3 linked regions of the Cricetulus griseus genome follow. The protein of the gene in region 1 interacts with the protein of each later gene in a pairwise test. Links are inferred from orthologs where the notes say so. Each region holds a gene or a part of one and is shown on either strand. Other genes may lie near its edges.

Evidence for each region.
Region 2: the proteins of Aamp (region 1) and Vps52 interact in a two-hybrid assay, tested with the Homo sapiens proteins (2 studies listed by BioGRID and IntAct). The link is inferred for Cricetulus griseus from reciprocal best matches to the Homo sapiens genes AAMP and VPS52.
Region 3: the proteins of Aamp (region 1) and Aen interact in binary tests that used the Homo sapiens proteins (3 or more experiments, as listed by UniProt). The link is inferred for Cricetulus griseus from reciprocal best matches to the Homo sapiens genes AAMP and AEN.

What each region holds. Positions count from the first base shown.
Region 1 is NC_048595.1:427,521,314-427,526,072, forward strand, and holds the start of Aamp (angio-associated migratory cell protein), read right to left. Parts: upstream 2,965-4,759; 5' UTR 2,873-2,964; coding exon 2,752-2,872; intron 2,309-2,751; coding exon 2,150-2,308; intron 1,341-2,149; coding exon 1,221-1,340; intron 632-1,220; coding exon 492-631; intron 232-491; coding exon 87-231; intron 1-86. Other genes in the region: probable hydrolase PNKD, read left to right, coding at 3,320-3,386, 4,118-4,286. UniProt on the Homo sapiens protein: Plays a role in angiogenesis and cell migration. In smooth muscle cell migration, may act through the RhoA pathway.
Region 2 is NW_023276806.1:232,057,640-232,062,564, forward strand, and holds the start of Vps52 (vacuolar protein sorting-associated protein 52 homolog), read right to left. Parts: upstream 3,036-4,925; 5' UTR 2,829-3,035; coding exon 2,739-2,828; intron 1,151-2,738; coding exon 1,066-1,150; intron 450-1,065; coding exon 397-449; intron 260-396; coding exon 184-259; intron 1-183. Other genes in the region: Rps18 (40S ribosomal protein S18), read left to right, coding at 3,287-3,289, 3,608-3,706. UniProt on the Homo sapiens protein: Acts as a component of the GARP complex that is involved in retrograde transport from early and late endosomes to the trans-Golgi network (TGN).
Region 3 is NC_048596.1:118,714,060-118,717,464, forward strand, and holds part of Aen (apoptosis-enhancing nuclease), read right to left. Parts: intron 2,823-3,405; 5' UTR 2,759-2,822; coding exon 2,234-2,758; intron 635-2,233; coding exon 434-634; intron 1-433. UniProt on the Homo sapiens protein: Exonuclease with activity against single- and double-stranded DNA and RNA. Mediates p53-induced apoptosis.

The sequences.
Region 1 (4,759 bases):
GGCAGCAGGAGGCTGGGATGACTGGAATACCCCCCAAGTCACTGGATCCACCTCTACCCTCAGGAAGAAGAGACAGCTGCTCTCACCATCAGGGAGGACACGGCCACAGGTTGCAGGGCAATTGGGGCCCTGGAAGGTCTTACAGTCACCATTCGGTACCTTCCACATCCAAGTGTTGCCGTCAGCTGTGCCCGCTAATAGGACAGGTGCCCGAGGGTGCCACTCCATCCACTGGGCAGAGAGGAAGGATCAGCAAGCAAGCCTGCTACCCAGCCAATCTGAGAGTCCATGAACCCCACCCATGTGTCCCTGCTTCTAGGGTTAGCATGTACGTTACTGGTGAACAGACATAGTGCTGAAGCTGAGCTACTATGGTTACTATGGTTCAAAGCAACCTTCTCCAGTATGGCTATGCCTGCCCCTCCCCCTCTGAGAAGTGCTCATCCCTACTTGAGGTCCCACAGAGTTGAAGCCCACTCCAAGGATCTCACCTCCAGGTCTCCTGCTTCAAAAGACCAGACTTCTTCCTTAGTATCAACTTGCCACACTTTCAAAAGACCACTCATGTCCCCTGTGGCCACTAGGGTGGAGTCATGGCTAAAACCAGCACATGTCACAGAGTCTTTATGGCCTGCAAAGAGAAATGGGCAGACTTTCAGTTCAAATGTGCCTGAGGTGTAGCAAGTTCAAGGCTAGCCTTGGCTACATAGTAAATCCAAGGCCAACCCAAACTATGTAACTTAAAAGAAAAAGTGGCAGAAAAGGAAGGACAGTAAAAGGTGTCTAAATGCTGGGGACATATGACCCATATATTTGGCTACCTTTTAAAAAACAACTAACTAGAAAAAAGGTAGGAGGGCCTCAGCAGAACAAGTGACCAAACTCACTGTAGCTCCAGGGCCCAGAAACTCCAGGTGTTCCAAGAAGATACTGTTGACCCCACTGTTCAACCACCCAAAGCCTGGGACTCCCAGGCCATACTTCTGTCTTCTGTTCTCCGTGCCTCTATCTACTCCTACACAGTACCACCTCCTCCCGTGCCCACCTTAGCCACACTCCTTTGGCCAATTAGCACTTCCTGTCCAAGTGCCCACAAAAGTTATTCTTCTAGTGTGGGTTCCTGGATCCAGCACAAGACAAAGGCTAGTAAATAGCCGCTGTGCGTTCACACAGGCCACCTGCCAAGATGTCCAGAGGGACACAACCTCCCAGCCTCTTACCTGCACACTCGAAGAGCAGCTCTCCATCACTGAGTCTCCACACAAAGGCTTTGTCATCTTCACCCCCTGTCACTGCCAAGGTGTTGGTTTTGGGGTCCAGGCTCACGCAAAACACAGATGCTGTCCCAAGAGATAGTCCACAAGAAAGGGGATGGAACTGGGCTCTCACCTAGAGTTCTGGTCTTCAAAACCTTTGGGGAGGCACACCCCTTTTCCCCAAGGCCACAGGTATTCTCTCCTGGACAGGCTACACCCAGTAGCAAGACCCAGTTCTTGTCTGAAGCATTAGGTTGTTAGGGAAATCCTTCACAAGTCCTCCTCCTGCTGCTGTCCTGTTCCCATTACCATCCCACTCTGAGGTACAAGCCAAGCGGTGGGTCCATGGGCACAGCTAACAGCACAGGGTTCCACCAGGCTGGGTATGAATTAAGTGATGGGAGCCTCATGAGACTGGCTTACAAAGAACTAGCTCCTGAGAAGATTATCGTTAAGGCTACTTTTGGAGTGTCACTTGCCTTTAATTTCCACCAGGATTACGTCCATTCACTTTCATCTAAGAGGACTTCTTTTGTTTTTCCAGACAGGGTTTCTCTGTGTAGACCAGGCTGGCCTCAAACTCAGAGATCCACCTGCTTCTGCCTCTCAAGTGCTGAGATTAAAGGTGTGCACCACCACCACCACTACCAAGTTGACTTTTTAAAAAGGAACACCAAGATCCAGAAAGCTAACAAAGGTGATAAACAGCAGAGGTAGGATTTGAACCTAGGTGTCTCACTTGACACCACTGCCAAATCTAATCCCTTTGGTCCTTCCTGTGAATTTCCTGCAGGCTTTCCTATTTGTCTCTCATAATATCCTGTTCAGGGCCAACTGGTCATACTCAAAAGTCCATCTGCACTGATCTGAGGTGAGCCCCTTCAAAGGCCTACCTGAGTGCAATGCAAAGGTGACCTCGCTATCATCCGGACCCTCCATGCTGCCGACCACCCCTTCCTGGGGTTCCAGGACCCAGCCCTCGTCATTGCCCTCTTCCTCCTCCTCTTCTTCCTCAAAGTCCACGTCTTCCATCTCCTGGGCCAGATCATCTGCTTTGGGAAAAGCGTTAAAAGATGGATCTCGAAAGATATAAGAGGAATGGGGTGAAGAGTGAATAGGACGACGCCAGAGTGGGTCATGTGGCCAAAGGTTAAGGTGTCGTCCCACACGTACCGAGGAGGAGGAGAGCGCTTGGGGGGCGGAGAAGGGGAGAGAGGCTAGGTCTGAAGACCTGGCGTTGGCCAGCGACCGTGTGGGAAGAGAGGACAGAGGGCATGACGGGAAGGGGGTGTGTGAGGGGAAGGGCCAGGGGAGGCGTCAGGGAACCCCCACCCAGCCAGGCCTCGAAACTAAGTGTGGGGGGTAGGGAAGGAGGGCTGGGAGAGAAATGTCGGTAGGAACGACCGGTAGGGAAGGGGGGAGGGGGAGGAAGCAGGGGTCAGAGGCCAGGGGTGAGCGCCTCCTGTCCCATGGCCTGAGGAGCGACAGTTCTCACCCGGGTCGGGCGGGCCTGGATCCAGCTCTACCACCTCAATGATCTCTTCATCTCCGTGGAAGCTTAGAGTCTCCAGCGGCGGGGTGTCAGCGGCCGCTCCGCTCTCCGATTCGGACTCCATGCGGCGAAACCTACCGATCCACTTCTCTGGGCCCAAACGCCTCCCAGAGTCAGCTCTGCGCGACGACGCGGAACTCGAGCCCCTCCTCCCGGGAGGAAGTAGGCGTAGGCGACTCCCGGCCGAAAGAGCGACGGAATCCGGACCAATAGCGACGGAGGTGGGCTGACAGAGCCGCCAATCACAAGGCAGAACTGGGATGACCAGGCCGGGGCGTGGCGGGAGAACCCAAGCTCCTCCCGACATGACTCCGCCCCCAGCTGGAGGGAAACAAGCGAGCGTGCGCGCCTCCGGGGTCTCCTGGGAGGAGTAGTTCTCCCGGGCCCGCTACGCGGACTTCTGGGAAATGTAGTTTCTGAGCTGTAGGCACGACGGAAGGCGCGGGGGAGGCCCCTTACGCAAACTACAATTCCCGGCGGGGAGCGCAGTGAAGGGGGGTGGGACCTGAACATGGCGGCGGTGGTAGCTGCTACGGCGCTGAAGGGCCGGGGGGCCAGAAATGCCCGCGTCCTCCGGGGTAAGGAGAGGGACCCCCGGGAGGGCAGGGCTCTAAAAGATCCCATTCCCTTCACATTCCACCCAGCACGACAGCAGGAAGTCAGGCTGCTAATTGCTGTCCATACCTCTCGGCAGGATCTTAGAGAGTCTGGGGGTGAAAGATGCTCTAGAGGTCACCCAATCTAACCCCTGCGTTCAGGTTACACTGCATGTCTAGGGTCTTGTTGATAGAGGGAGTCCCAAAGAAGCCTTTCGTCACCCGCGCGTTCCAGGGGTTTCACACTCACCGCAGTGCAGAAGAGCGAGCCCTGGGCTTCTGGAGGCTTGAGTTCTAGCACTGGGTAATTAGCGGTTTGACCTTGTGCGGAGCAGCTCGTCTCTCGGGGCTTCAGTTTCCTCTTCTATAATACGAGGGGATGGAGTTAGCTATCCTTAGGAATAGCTAAGGTCCTGTAGTTTTAAAACAGTTCCCAGGATTTCCTTCATACGTATGTCTCTGCAGTCCTTCCCAACCGGTCTTCTGAATAGAAAGCAGCAAAGCTCGCTGTCCTGGCACGAGGATGAGGATCCCGCAGTGACGTGGAAGTAGCTTCCAAAGGTGTCACCTCGATGGCGATTTTCCCATTTCTCTTTGGATTCTTCACAGCACTTGTTACTCCAAACTGCAGTCACTCCCCTCCCTCAAAACTCAGCCGCTCCTCCCCTCCCTCATCCTATACTGACCTACCCCCACCGTTCTTTTATTCACAGGGATTCTCTCTGGAGCCACAGCTAACAAGGCTTCCCAGAACAGGACCAGAGCACTGCAGAGCCACAGCTCACCGGAATGCAAGGAGGAGCCTGAGCCCCTCTCTCCTGAGCTGGAATACATCCCCAGAAAGAGGGGCAAGAACCCCATGAAAGCTGTGGGACTAGCCTGGTGAGTTTTAACTGCCCCTTTGCCTACCAGTGGGGAATGCACGCAAGGGATGGATGTCAACCTAGAAACTTAAGTTGCAGATGATGAGCTGAGTCCAAAGGAAGAGAATCGCTGGGTTCCAGGGATAGAAGCTCAGAGTGAGATGGGGGTGAGATGGTGAGGGGAACTTTGAGGAGACTGTCTTACGGTGGAGCAACTTGAGCTGATCTGGTTTGAATTTGGGTCACTGGCTTCATCCTTCCTTTTGGGAGCTGGGATAAGATCCCAGTCTCAGTAATCACTTAAAATTGTGTTGAAATATGTTGTATAGAAGCTAGAAATGGTTTTGTGGGTTTATTTGCTTCTGATTCTGGTTTTAATACATATTTTTGGTCAACATTAAAGGGAAAGGAAATTAACATTTTGTTTCCAGCAAGTGCCTGAGGTATGACAGTACTTTGCCATATAACATTTTAAGCTTTCTGAGGTAAACA
Region 2 (4,925 bases), on another chromosome or scaffold:
GGGTCCCACACACCCCAGGTCAGTGACAGCGCGTGTCTCCCCTCTGCGGAGGATACAGTCCCGGGGTCCCACACACCCCAGGTCAGTGACAGCGCGTGTCTCCCCTCTGCGGAGGATACAGTCCCGGGGTCCCACACACCCCAGGTCAGTGACAGCGCGTGTCTTCCCCTGTGCGGAGGATACAGTCCCGGATGGATTTCTGCTCAATATGCTGCAGCTCCAGCTCCACCTGCTTGGAATAGTGTCGCAGATCCACACCCTGGGGGAAACCAGGAACAGTCAGGATGAAGCCACAGTGAAAGGACACCAGAACAGACTCAGTGACTGGCTAGAGGGGACACATAAGACCCCGAGGAGAGGAGGGCGGGGACAGATCGGCATAGCGGAGAACCTCACCGTTTTGAGGGCTTCCTTCACTAACTCATCCTCCAGATTTGCCTGAATGTGAACTGGAAACAGACATTCATCACTAGGGTCCGGCGCCACGCCCCCCTCTGCCAGCATCAGGTACCCGCACACCAATCTCCCCTTTCCTTCCAGCCCCCATCCTCTCAAGGTAAAAGAACAGTCGCTTTGACTTTCTGCTGTTTCAGTTCCTCATAGTCTAGTCAACCACAAGCCAAAAATATTAAATGGGAATTCCCAATCGTGGCTCGGAGGCTTTAAAGTGTGTGGCACTCTGAGAAGCTGAAGGGCCTCTCACCCGCCTTGGATTTATTTGGATTTTCTTTGCTGGATGAATCTATGGTGTGTGTGTGGTACGAGTGTCCCAGAGATCAGACTGGCTGTCTGCACATGTCCATGTTCAAATACACACTTTGTTTTTTCTTAATAATCCCAAAGAGCAAGACTGTCAATGCAGCAATTTATCACAGTGGGCTGCATCATTACCCCACTCTTGCTATGCCTAAATTAGAAAGTAACCCTTCTCATTCAACTTTACACTACATTAGTAAAAAACATGCAGGGGTTAGTATGGGGGGTCACCTAGTGGGGGTCCTCTACTATATTCCTAAAGGATAAAGGGGGCTGGCTACTTTGCCCCCACCCCATGCCACCACTTACCATCCACTTCATCCAGGATGAATTCATCAGAGGTGATATCCAACTCCCCAAGTTGCAGGGGCTCTTGGAGACCAGAAACACCCCCCTGAAGAGGGACAGATTAGTGAGTGCGAGATACAGAAAGAAACGCTAGAAAAAAAACAAGGGCATATCCCTGCTCCTGAAAGTGGGTTGAGGGCGCTTTTTCAGGGGAGCCATAGTTAGTGGGTCAAAGATCCTGACACACGGGGGAGGGAGCTAGGAGAATGAGAAGGGGGAAAAGAGAGAGATGTGGGAGCAGAAAGGCTGAGTCAGGGGAAGAATAGAAGATAACAAGAATGGAGACACCATAATAGAGGGAGACATTTTAGGTTTACAGAGAAATCAGGCACTAGGGAAATGTCTGGAGATCTACAAAGATGACACCAGCTAACTATCTAAGCAACAGAGGAGAGACTACCTTAAATGCCCTCCCCTGATAATGAGATTGGTGACTGACTTATAGGCCACCCAATAGCCCCCATCCAGCAGCTGGTGGAAGTAGAAGCAGACACCCACAACTAATCACTGAACTGAACTGGAATCCAGATGCAGAGAAGGACAAATGAAGGGATCCAGACCAGGCTGGTGAAACCCACAGAAACAGCTGCATGGGGGAGCTCTTGGTCCCCACACTGATAGCTGGGAAACCAGCATGGGACTGATCCAGACCCCAGGAACGTGGATTTCAGTGAGGAAACCTCAGAAATCTATGGGACCTCCTGTAGTAGTTCAGTAGGTGTGGACTTTGGGAGCCCAATCCACATAGAGGGATACTCTCTGAGCCAAGACAAACGGGGGTGGTCCTAGGCCCTATCCCAAAGGATACCATAGACTCTGATGGCACCCCATGGAAGGCCTCACCATCCAGGGGGAGCAGAAAGGATATGTGATAGGTAGGGTTTTAGTTGGGGGGCTGGTAAGGGAGGAGGGGAGGAAGAGAGAACTGGGATTGTCATGTAAAACAATCTCGTTTCTAATTCAAATTTTAAAAATCTGCAAAAAAAAAAAAAACCAATCCTGACACACTCAAATCTACTTTTCTGGGCTAATGAGTAAAAAATATGTCACTAAATCAAGCAATTCATGGAGTCGCTGGAGGTGTTCAAATGAGAAAAACTAGGATTAGCCCAACTTGCCTTTGGACTTAGGACCTCTGTCTACCATGCCCCCCTCAGGGAGGTCTAGATGCTAAGACAGTCAGCTTCCCTGCTGTTTCCCCGTGTGTCGGGTGCTCGCTTACACATCCTCACTCGGCCAACTCCTAACGACGACCTATAAGGTGGGGGCGTTATAACAACGCCTCCTCTTTGCAGGTGTGGGAAGCGAGCACGGAACACACCACGGCTGACAAGGGGGACCAAGGCCGTCGGGTTCCAGAGCGCACGCGCCTCGTCTTTTACAGTGTGTTCTCTTTCCTACTCTTTTTGTTTCTAGCGTGAGAAATAGGAAGCTGTCAGTGTGCCCGAGGGGCTTGAGTTCCTGCCACTGTGGTCCCTGCGAAGGCTCGGCCACCACCCGCGGCGGCGGCGGCAGCGGGGGGAGCCCGGTGTGAGCCCAGCCTACGCCCTCCCGACGGCGGGAGGAGCTGACGATGCGAGGACAGACGGCCCGCGCTCGCTCGCTCGCTCTCTCTCGCTCGCTCTCTCGCTCACCAGCGGGCCCTCCTCCTCCTCCAGGTCCGAGGCCCCGGCGCGCAACACCAGCTCGCGGGCCGCCGCCGCCATGGTCGCCGCCGCTGCCATTCCCCCGCAGCCTCACTTCCGCCAGCTGTCGGGCTCGGGGGGCCGCGTCCCGAAGCACAACCTCAGGTCCCAGATCGTCTCGTTCGGCGCAAGAGAACGTTCCCAGATAGCCGAGCCCAAGCGATGGGCCCCAGTCTCCCCTGCCGTCAGGCTGAGATCGCTCCGCTCGAGCGCAAAAGCGAAGGTCAGCGTCTCAAGCGCAGTGCCCGCCCCGGAACCTTCGCGCCCAGAACGGGAACCGTACGACCGTAAACGCGACCGGACCGGAAGTTACGATCCCGGAGCCAAACTCGCCCAGTTGGGACTCCTCGCTAGGGGAGGGAGGAGGAGAGGCCGTTTCCGGAAGCGCTGCTCCCCGGTTAGCCCCGCCCCTTCCCCGGGGAGCTATATAAGAACCACACGTCACTTCCGCCCCCTCTTCCACTGGAGGCCTACACGCCGCCGAGTGTGCCGCCGCCATGGTGAGCGCGGGCTCCGCGCCGGGATCCGGCGACATCGGGGCCGGGGCGGGCAGGGCTTTCCGTCGGGGCTCCCGGGGTGCCGTGGGCCGCGGGCGCGCAGCTCTCCCTGGGGCGATGGCGCGCGACCCCCTCCCCGGCGGGGGACGGCCTGAGGCGTGAAATCCGGGGACCCGGGGCCGTCCCTCCCCGGACACCGGGTTGCCAGCGGCCGGGCCGCGCGTGGGGACCTCCCGGCTCGGGGCCCGCGCTGGGGCGAGGGCAGGGGCGCCGGCCGCCCGGGCGTTGCGGCGTCTGACACCCAGCCCCGTGTCCTTTCAGTCTCTGGTGATCCCCGAGAAGTTCCAGCACATCCTGCGCGTCCTCAACACCAACATCGATGGGCGGCGCAAGATCGCCTTCGCCATCACTGCCATCAAGGTGGGCGCGGGGGCGGCGGGTGGGAGACGGGAGACCCCGGGAGGGAGATGGCTGCAGGGGCGGCCGCCCTGGCCTCGCACCTGGGGACGTGGGGCTGGAGGGGCCCTGTCTGTCCCCTCCCGGCTCGTGAGCCGGCCTGGAGCGGCTCACAGCCCTGGGAGGAATGATTGCTGCGGGCTAGCAGCATACATGTCTGCAGGACGCACGCACACGCGCCAGGGGGGCAAGGTGGCGTCTGTGTTAGCTGAAAGAGGAGCCAACACGTGTGTTTGGTTTATTGCAAAAAGTCAGTGCTGAGTGGAAGATTGAATAGCTCTCTTGGAAGAGCTTCAGAGCCTTCTAGGTGGGGACGTTCATTTTCTTTATCAGACTTGGTAATTTGGGGATTAAAAACATCTTGCCAGTCAGTGTGGGTGCTCCCTGAGGAGGGCAAGGACCAGACCTGTCTGTGCCGTCCCGAGTTTGCCGTGTGTGGTGGGTTCTGGTGGGATGGTACTGAGGTGGGTGCTGGGTGTTTTTGAGAAATGCGAAGTTAACTGGTGGGGTTTACAGAATCAATGAAGTAAAGGAAACTGGGTAACCGAGTATGTCAAATGGACATAAAATCGGAGTCATTGTTTTTAGATGTGTGAATTCCCACTTTAAGATTTTTAGTGCTTGCCAAATTTAAGGGTTTTTTTATGTGCACTTCTGGAAACAGAATGACAGTGGGTGTAGCTGGCAGGGCAGGGGGAATGCAGTGTCTGGGGGGTTTGAAAGGCCTGGGTGATGCCTGTGACCTGCCTTTTCAACTTGAGCCTCTTGCTGATCTCTGGTAGATAATTACAGTCCCCTACAACCCAGGCAAGGCGCTTGGAGGCTGTGCACAGTGTCTGGAGATCCTGAGTACTCAGGGTTCTGTTGATAATGTTGATAATAATTTGAGGTGAGGTGTGACTAAGGTGTAGTGCAAGTTGACCGAGAAGGGGTGAAAGGCCATGGTGCCTTGTTTTCTGAATTCTCTCTGGTTTTTTGAGACAGGGTTTAACTTCATAGATGGGGCTGGCCTCCAACTCAGATCCGCCTGCCTATGCCTCTTGAGCACTGGGAAAAAAGGCATGCGCCACCACTGCCCCACTGTTTGCTGAGTTCTTTGAGGCTGTCGGCTGCTTCTCTGTTAAGGTGATAGTGTTTGAATATCTGGAAGCCTGTGGGAAGGGGTTGGGCAGACATAGGGAGT
Region 3 (3,405 bases), on another chromosome or scaffold:
CCCAGACTCAATGCTTATCACTACATGGCATCTCACAACTGTCTGTAACTCCAGTCCCAGAGGACCTGATGCCCTCTTCTGCCCCCAAAGATATGCCATACATGTTGTGCATAGACATACATGCAGGCCAAACACCCACACACATTTAAAACAAAATTTCCTGCTCTAGAAGTTAAGAGTCACAGGCCTCTTGATCTGAGTGTGAGTCAGAACACATTCTACGGAGATTCAGGATATAGCCAGGAGTTGGGTGGGCAAAGACCTACAGAGATGAGTCTAGAAGAATTTGACTATCACTAGGGAATTCACACAGGAAAGGAGGTGGCTACACCAGTGCTGCCTGTATGCAAGCAACAGTCCACAGTCCTATCCAGAGTTCAGCAGCATTGACAGTCAGATGAGCCCTGGCACCAAGAGATTCTGCACCGCATACCTGAATTTTCTTGTGCAGCAGGTGCAGGGCCAGGTCCTTCAGAGAGACCCGAGCTCGGGTGTGGAAGCTGGGCTGGCTGAGCAGGTTTGGGACGTAAGTGGTATCCCGGGTCTGGCTCCGGGGATGAACATACTTGAGGGCCTGGAAGTCATTGTGCAGTGCATGCCCCACCACCACCTTGCCCTTCAAGAGCTTTAGGATCTGTGAGGAGAGAGGAAGCAGGAAGGCCCCACTGTCACGAAGGAAGACAAACCTGAGCATCCTTAGCACTGGTGCGTGAAGCACTCTACAGGGAGGCAGCAGTGGGGAAGGGGAGAGTCTATGAGTCCCAGTTGACCATGATGCCCCAAGTTTGAATACAAACCCATCTTAGCACCTGCCAAAGGGATACTGTCTCAGCATTCCAGGAAACAGTTGTGAGGGTAAAGGAAGCTATGGATGTAAGCCATGCCTTCAAATTGGGAGATTCAAGCAGCTTTGCACTAGCAAAGGCAATTCTTGGCTGCAAGACCTTCTCACCCACTCAGATCTCAGCTCCTCAACCTTCCTTGGAAGACCTCCCATTATCCTCATCTACCTAGGAGGCCTTGGTCCTTCTTTGAAGCTATCTACACTTTCTAGGTATGGATTTAGCTTTTATACGTCTTACACACATTTAGCTCTTGGGATGATCTAGTCTCCCCTCCCACACAGTAAGCTCCTTTGACTTGACCAGTGATGCTCACCCAGAGCACAGCATTTACTGATTTGCTTGTGTTTGATGGGCCGGTCCTTTACAGGCTCACTATGCAGTGCAGGCTAGAACTAACATCAATCCTCCTACCTCAGCCTCCCAGCCAACCGATCTTCTGATCAATAAAGACCTGTTGAATGAAATCAACAGAACCATGTATGGTGCTGTTAGAAACACAGTTAAGTAGAAGCCCTTGTTAGACTCAGTGACACAGTTCCTTGCTCCTGAGTCCACTGACTCTTCCTTCCTACCCTCTAAACATGCTAGGCAACTCTATTTGGACATATCCTGTTCCTCCCTGCCCAGCACCTTCCCCATGCTCAGAGAAACAGGGCTAAAGGACTGCCAACTCCTGGTCATTAGCTGTTGGCCTTCTACAGCCTGTCCCTACTAGCATGGGACCAAGTTTTTGTGGCAGATGAGTAAGATGCATTTAGACTTTTGATTGGGGTCACCCCCAGTCTCATACTCCACCTGCCATCAAGTGGGGAGAAATCAAACCTAGACTTAAGCCCAAGTGAGCCTGCTCCAGGGATCACTGCCAACCACAAACACGGATGGGAGGGATCAGAGTTGGGAGGGCTCACACAGATTACCTTCCTACCGCTTCTATTCATGATCAAGTCTTTCCAAAGCAATGCTTAGGGCATCATGGAATGTGTCTTACTTAGGGTTTCTATTGATGTGATAAAACATCCCTAGTATATTAGTGGGATCCCAAGTACTGATCATTTTTCCAAGCACTGAAAAACCATAAAGAGATGGGCTAAAACAACAACCCTTGAATGTGACAGGACTGTAGGCAAATTTTATAGACTCCAAACATTTTGTAAGTTGTTGTACCTTTACCTTTCACATCACCTTCCTACCAGCAGCCCCCTGCCTAACAGCCTGGCAGCCCTTTAAAGGCAGCAACTGGATTTATATTAACCCATACTCTGGGAAAGGAACTACAAATTTGGTGACGTGAAGTAACTTCTCAAGGCCACACACTCCCCAGGTGATTTAAACCAGGGCTTCTCTCCCCAACCTGTCATTCAGGCCATTCAAGACCCCAGAGTCCTCACCTCTTTCTGGGCCACCTGGAAGGGGATGGCCTTGAGCATGTGTTGGCGGGTAATGCCACTCCAGCGGGTGCGGTAGTCCACAATGGGCATCTCAGGCCGGATGTACTTGTCGTAGAGAACATCGCCATTGTAACTTACTACAGAGCAGCGGGCCAGCTCGCTCACCCGCCCACGAGGACCTGTACCCACCATCTCACAGTCAATGGCTACACATTTGCTGGGCCCAGGCCTTTGGGCTTCTCTGGTGACAGGCCTTTTGCTGCATGGGCCACCACCGCCAGGCGTGGCTTTGGAACGCTGTCTTCTGCTGCCTGAAGCCTGTGTGTCTGCTGGTGTCTGTGATGGGGAGGACAGAGGGCAGGATTCTGGCCCTGGTGCCATATTCCCCTGCAGCAAGGCTTTGCGGGCCATGAACCGCTGGTGCTGCCGGCTTCTCCTCTTGTGTCTTTTCCGAACCACATCCTTGGTATTCAGGCTGGTGAGGGATGGACACTGAGTAGACTCAGGGACTTCTCCCAGCACCATGCCAGGCAGCTCACAGCTAGGGACAAGGGAAGCCCGGGAGGCTATCTTCCAACGGGACAGAGTGCTGGAGAGAGATCACATAGGAAGAGGGCTTGGAGGAGGATGCCAGGCCACACTGCTGCTCATCCGGTGGTATATGCAGCTCAAAGCACCTGACTGAAACTCAGATACCTTTACTAAAAACTGCATCAGAACACCACACATACCATACATGCCTTCTGCAAGCGTTACACGGAATCATTCTACCTCCCCACTGACACCACAAAGTATCACTGCCCTTATTTATTTTGAAATTACTCCTGGTGTGGTTTTTTTGTTTTGTTTTTTAGATTTATTTATTATGTATACAGTGTTTTGCTTTCACATATGCCTGCATGACAGAAGAGGGCACCAGATCTCATTATAGCTGATTGTGAGCCACCATGTGGTTGCTGGGAATTGAATTCAGGGCCTCTGGAAGAGCAGCCAGTGCTCTTAACCTCTGAGCCCATCACACTTATTTTACAGAGAAGAAATGAGGTCCGCAAGCTGAGTGACTTGGTTAAAGGCTGATAGGAATCCAGAGTCCATGCTCTGAAGTCAAGCTCACCTCTAAAAGTGGTAGCTTACAAGACTGCTGGGAGTATGAATACAGGGAAGCAAAGGTT